Linked DNA regions of Kluyveromyces lactis. The protein of the gene in region 2 purifies or fractionates together with the protein of the main gene of each other region. This does not show direct contact. Links are inferred from orthologs where the notes say so. Each region holds a gene or a part of one and is shown on either strand. Other genes may lie near its edges.

What was found.
Region 1: the proteins of APM2 (region 2) and MIL1 purify together in Saccharomyces cerevisiae (affinity purification with mass spectrometry; 3 studies listed by BioGRID, with this or other methods). This does not show direct contact. The link is inferred for Kluyveromyces lactis from reciprocal best matches to the Saccharomyces cerevisiae genes APM2 and MIL1.

Annotation. Positions count from the first base shown.
Region 1 is NC_006040.1:444,248-448,012, reverse strand, and holds the start of MIL1 (Mil1p), read left to right. Parts: upstream 1-1,547; coding exon 1,548-3,765. Other genes in the region: KLLA0_D05181g (60S ribosomal protein eL22), read right to left, coding at 258-614, 1,099-1,110. UniProt on the Saccharomyces cerevisiae protein: Probable lipase that recruits the AP-1-related (AP-1R) complex to membranes via interaction with APM2. The AP-1R complex is an adapter protein complex that mediates of cargo protein SNC1 sorting in clathrin-coated vesicles.
Region 2 is NC_006042.1:2,364,904-2,367,908, reverse strand, and holds APM2 (Apm2p), read left to right. Parts: upstream 1-951; coding exon 952-2,475; downstream 2,476-3,005. Other genes in the region: NFU1 (Nfu1p), read left to right, coding at 1-172; MCO14 (4a-hydroxytetrahydrobiopterin dehydratase), read right to left, coding at 323-850; KLLA0_F25410g (uncharacterized protein), read right to left, coding at 2,535-3,005. UniProt on the Saccharomyces cerevisiae protein: Component of the AP-1-related (AP-1R) complex, an adapter protein complex that mediates of cargo protein sorting in clathrin-coated vesicles. AP-1R has a specific role in SNARE SNC1 sorting.

The sequences.
Region 1 (3,765 bases), on a different chromosome or scaffold from region 2:
TCAATTATACCTGTAGTTGTTATCCAATTAATATACAAAACCTATTAAAAAAGATTCATGGAAGATCAGTCGTTGAACTATATATATATTAATATAAGAGACAAAACATGCGAATAAGTCGAGCGCTTTGAGAGCCTCCAACCATTCTCAACAGTTTCTAGTAGTAAAAACTTCGACAGTCAAGCATAAATCAAAAATGCGATTGAAAAGAAAGAAAGAAAGCGAAACGAGTTAAATTTTTGATTTGATCAAAGAATTTATTCTTCGTCTTCTTCTTCTTCTTCATCTTCTGGAGTGATTTGGTAGAAGGCCAACTTGTATTCGTTGGTCTTGGTAGAAACAAATCTGATCCAGTCTCTCAATTGGTTCTTCTTCAAGTACTTCTTGGTCAAGTACTTCAAGTACTTACCAGAGAACTTGGTAGTAGAAACAATGGTGACAACGGAACCATCTTCTTCAACAGTGATGGCTTGACCCAAGTTACCGACGTGACCTTCAACCTTGATGTGGTCGATCAAGTACTTAGCGTAAGAAGCTGGATCGAAAACACCGTTTTCAGTTGGAGAGGAAACGTCAACAGTGAAGGTCTTGGTGATCTTTTGCTTTCTAGCAGTCTGTATGAATAGAGATCAAATCAAAAAGAACATTCGAACGTTCAATTTGATGAATGGCTTTAACGTTAGTAAATCAAAGTCCAAGGGAGGGCATTGCTTTGTCAATCAAGCTATGTGAACTGAATAGCATACACTCTTTGAAGCTAGAGACAGATCGGTCGACTGATCTGTTGAAGCTGCTATGAGGTATGCAGTCCACACAATCTCTTGTACAAAAAAAATAAACCAGCCTACTGCTATTAACAATCATCAATTGCTGAATAAAGATGAATAATTAAAAAACAGAATAGCCACCAAGTTGAGTTTTCCATTGTTAGAAACTTCTGTCATCCAAATCTTGTTTGAGACGATACAGAGGAAGTCGTTGGTTTACAGTCCTTCATCCTTTACGAAATATATTCAAATTCTCTGATGTTATAATTCTAGCAAATAGTAACCAATTCACTTCTAAAAACAAGCGATTTTACAACATTCTTGTACATACATTTGGAGCCATTGTTGTAATTGGTTGTTTGTGGTTTCTTTAGCCTTGACTAAACTATACTGCTATAATGTTGATGTTAAATGTAACTATAATCTTCCAAGTTAAAGGTTTATTGTGCCGAAAAGTTTCATGCATCTCGAGATCATCGAAGTGGTTTCGCCAAAGAAAAACAACCTTCGAAATAGCTGAAATAGGAAGTCATTCATTGACAGTTCTTTTTTGAAAATATGTCTGGGTTCAGAAGGACAATATTCTTATAAACATCAGGACACCATTGAACAGTCCTGACATCAAGATTAAAGGGCTTCAGAACATGAAAACAGCATCGATTCAATTAGCACTAAAAGTGTTGTGTTTACACAATCGGACTGTAGGGTGCGGAAAGAATTGGACTATTAACAGAATTCAAAGTTTCTGACAAGATACTGGATAACAGCTTCGTTAGTCATATGTCTGAGTGTCACGAAGACAGTGAAGAGGACCTTGGGTTTGCTTTGAAAGAGCTCAAGCTAACCAAGAAGCTTACTTCTAATCAAGATGGGAAAGACAATAAAGCTGATATGATAGAGTCAGTTGGGACACAAAGTGCTGCTGAAGAGCCTAACCAGACCATATATTCTAGTCCTGAATCCGATGGTTCGGAAGAAGAAAGAGAAGAAGCTGTCAAGGAGATCGCAGTACGACAGGCTGATAGTTCTGTTGATTTAAGGCAGCAGTCTCAAGAAACTGGCAATGTCGGGAAGATAATCCGGGAAGAAGATGAAAATGGTTCTATTACGGATTCTGATACTTCCCTTGAGTGGCAGCCAATGACTACTGTTGCCTCCTTTGATGTATATGATGAGAATGGAGAGCTTGTGTTAGAAGGCATGAATAGAACAGGAAGTACTCTGTCGTTAAATGAACATAGTACACCTTCTCAAAATCAAAAGAGCACTTTCGGGTATACCAAGGTTGATGGTGAGGAGCAAGCACAGAGATCGTACCTCACTAACAAAAGGACCGATTTTTTGTTCAACCATAAGAAGCTAGCGGTATCTAGTGCATCTCTTTCTATGTCACTTAGTAGAACATCTGGTACACCGGATTCCCAGTTCCTGTCAGAAGATGATGAAGAAGAGGAAGCAATAAGCTCTAAAAATATTACAACAACGGATCAATTATCGATTACGAAAGATCTTTTAAATGATAAAGAAAAGTTTGCATATATTGCATGTATTACTGTGCTAGTTAACGAGATGTGTACTCGTTTGGTTTCAATAGCATTATCATCGCATAATATGACTTCCAAACAGAAATTTGCGAAACGGTTGCAAAGTCTACAGAAGAATATGGGGCATTGGAGGAGCTTAATATTAAATCGACTTTACGCTCATTTGGAAATTGAACCTGAAGAAATCAAAATGTTATCAAGACTATCAAACGACGGGATTGAACTATCGGATTTATGTAATTGTTTGAAAGTGACACAGCATATTGACAATCCATTGGCAGAAACAAGTGATATACCTGAACTAAAAACGGAATCTAAAACTGACGAGAATATAATGACATCTAAGAGTTTGGACATTGATGTTGCTTGGACCATTATCTGTGATTTATTTCTTTTATTAGTGCAGGACTCTCATTATGATGCAAGGTCACGTTCATTATTAATTAATTTTGCCAAGGTGCTAAATATCGATCCGCTTGAGATCTGCCAATTTGAGAAAAGAGTGATAGAAGCATTAGAACTCGAACAATGCACAGAAGATCAGGTATGGGATGAAAAAGCCCATATGGACAAACGAAGGAAGGCAATCAAGAGAAAAAAACTGTGCTACATTGGTTTAGCAACTCTTGGTGGCTCTTTAGTTCTTGGTTTGAGTGGTGGTCTACTTGCGCCAGTTATTGGGGCTGGGTTTGCTGCGGGATTGTCAACAATCGGTGTAACCGGTGCCGCAGGTTTCTTAACGGGGGTAGGAGGTACAACAGTTGTTGCAGTGTCAAGTACTGCTATTGGTGCAAAAATTGGAACAACATCTATGAAAAGGAGAATGGGGAGTGTTAGAACTTTTGAGTTTAGACCTCTTCAGAATAACAGACGTCTTAACCTAATACTATCGGTTTCGGGCTGGATGAACGGTAATGAAGATGATGTTAGATTACCCTTCAGCACCGTAGATCCGATAAACGGTGATTTATACTCGTTGTATTGGGAGCCAGACATGCTAAGATCTACGGGTCAGACGATGGGTATCTTAGCTAGTGAAATTGTAACTCAAACTATTCAACAAATCTTAGGCGCAACAGTTTTGACTGCCTTGATGGCTGCTATCCAACTACCCAACATACTTTCAAAGTTGGGATATTTAATTGATAATCCGTGGAATGTATCACTTGACAGGGCGTGGGCTGCTGGGCTGGTTTTAGCAGATACGCTTATGGCCAAAAACTTAGGTGACAGGCCAATTACCTTAGTCGGGTTTTCCTTAGGATCTCGTGTCATTTATTCATGTTTAGTTGAGTTAGCAAAAAAAGGTGCTATCGGAATAATAGAAAATGCTTATTTGTTTGGTTCTCCTGTCGTTTACAAAAGAGATGAAATGATTCTCGCCCGATCAGTTGTTAGTGGAAGATTTTTGAATGGATATTCAAATAGAGATTGGATTTTAGGTTATTTATTCA
Region 2 (3,005 bases):
ATGTAAGTCATGTTCGTCCAGTGAGGATACCTTGAAGCATGGTATTGAAGCTATGTTAAAGCATTACATCGAAGAAGTAGAGGACGTGGTTCAGATCTTGGATCCTGAGGAGAAGATTGCACTTGCGGAGTTCGAAAAACTTGAGAAGAAGCTGGAGAGCAGTAAGAGATGATTGCAATTGCCCAGTATGTCACTTCTTTCTAGCAATGAAAGAAACGTACAGGCATAACTAAGACTAAGCAAGGAATGAATCATGACAGCATGTATTTGCAAGGTATTATGCAAAACAGAAGTACACTATTATTTATTTATTTAATACATTCTATTTATCCCCTATTAGGATGCCCTTCTTGGGATCGATTTGTTTGATGTATTTTTCAATCCGAGAAGCCATCATGATATCAGCATCGGAAATACCAGATACATCATGCGTAGTGAGTCTGAACTGAACTCTGTTGTAGGTAGTAGTAATTGTAGGATGATGGCCCCATAAGTGTGACCTCATGGCAACTTTGTTCAAAAAACTCCATGTCTCTTCAAAATCTCTGAACTTATAATCTCTAACCAATTCATTCTCCATTAATCTCCATTTAGGCAATTTTCTGAGTTCTTGTGTCAGAAGTTTTGGTGGCAACAGCACTGGTACCTGTTTTACTATCTTATTGTACATGTCTATACTATTCAGTGCTTGAAGAGTGGCATTTATTACCTTTTCCAGCATCTCTCTATGCGTAGTTGATAGAATTCCAAGATGTAAGAAATCTTTATTAACTAAAAATATTGAGAAGAAACAAAACACAAGAAGCACCATTTTATCAAAAGTGCTTTGAACAAACACCTTCAAAGCCATTTATTCTAGCATATATAGTAACTGCAAACCTAACCGAGACCTGAAGTAAATTTAGAGTGCCGAGTTAACTATCAACTGATGGTCAAATCAGCCTTGTCATAATGTCATCATGTTTCCTTTTGCTCGATGAGACGTATGAACCGCTAATAAGAAGAGCACTACGACCGATCCATTTCCTTGATGATGCTATACTTCAATTACAGAATAACCTTAAACATCATAAGGGATGCACAAAACCTATATTCGAAGGCAATGGGTGGCATTACGCTGTGATAACTCGTGATAACCTATATTTCGCTATGATAATGCAAGTGAATAATAGTGTTTCTCCCATAAGTGTGTTACATTACTTAGATGAAATCTACCAGTTATGCAGGAAATTTATGGGCATGAAGCTTAACAAGCTCAATGTACGAGATAACTTCCATTTAATTTTCGAAGTTATTGAGGAATCATCCGATTATGGTATCATACAGGTTACAAACTATAATATTATACATGATTTCATAAAGGTAGAAGTTATCAAACCCGACGATGATTCCGAGAATACAGCCTCTGAAAAACATGAGCTGCCACCAGGTGACCAGGATGAAACATTCATAAACAGTTATATTCTTCGAACGATGACATCTGCTGTCTCATGGCGTCCTAAGGGTATCCATTACGGTAAGAACGAATTCTTTCTTGATGTAATTGAGAAATTAGAATTCATTATGGATTTCGAGGAAGGTGTGGTCAGAAATAATGTAATCAACGGAACAATAATATGCCGGAGTTATTTGTCTGGTATGCCTCAATTGAGTATAGGATTGAATAAGTTGATGCAGAAGAATGTACACTTCATGAAACGTTTAAAATTCCATGAATGCGTAGACCTGCATACCTTAATCAAGGAAGAATCTCCAGTTATTAAGTTTATTCCACCGGATGGAGAATTTGAGCTTTGTAATTATAAATTGAATAGACCGCTACTTGATGAACCAGTTATAAAACTACAGTCATTCGGGCTATCCCAAAAACCTAGAAAGAACCAAGAAACCCAGGATAAGCTATTGTTGAAAGCTGCCATAACTACGCATTTCAAAGCTCAGGATAGTGCAAAGGAGCTTTTAATTAAAATTCCGATAAAGTCAGTTATTCGAAAGTGGAATATTGACCTCGAAAAGCCGCCCCTGTTTAAAAGCGATATAGGAGATGTTGTGTTCGACATAACAGCGGGTTCGATAATTTGGAAAATTAACAATTTGAAGGGTGGTCATGGAAACAAGAATTATGGGCTTAAATGCATGTTTGAAATATGGGACCGCCAGATTCATGAAGCTTTAGAGGTGCAGCTACGAAATTCCATGGACCCACCACCTTTAAGGACTGGCCCCAAACTAGAGAGAATTTGGGATCAGTACCATGGAAAAACTACGGAATATGATGGCAATGAGAACCAAAAAGAAGATGTAGACAAGTTCGCGTTAATTGCTATGTCGTTTGAAATCCCTTATTATGCAGTGAGCGGTTTAAAAGTTGAGTATTTCAAGATCGAAGAACCTCAATTAAACTACCAATCTTTCCCATGGGTTAGATACAAGACAGTCAATGATAACGAATATATATACCAGGTTTCCATTTAGTTAAAATTACCAAACTATATAGAGAAAAAGAATAGATTCTTTTCCCGTCAGATAGATAATTACGTGAGATCGTCGGCTATTTCTTTCAAAAGAGCAACTTTGCCTTTGAGGTCTGCTTCTCTCTCGGCATACGAAATCTCCCAATTATGCAACAGTAGTTGTTTGTTGCTTTCAATTCCTATCCTGCATTCCTCCCTAATCTGTAATTGGAATTGCTTTAACATGGAATACCAGGTATCCTTTACACGTTTCAGGCCTAAAACAATACCTAACGAAGATAATGCTCCCATCGAGTAGGCTGTACATAACTCTGTTACAAATCCTCCAATGGAAACAGCTATTAGTGGGAATTGCAACTGTAAGAAATTCAAGTAAACTGCCTTATTAATTTCTTTGTGTAAAACAGGTACTTTGTTCCTAGCATAATCAGGGTCTATAATGGATAGCTTATCCTGAGGTATGCCTAAAGATCCATAAATATGTGATAAATTTTGAACCATTTGAAGATCATTCGTAATGTTACAAAGTTC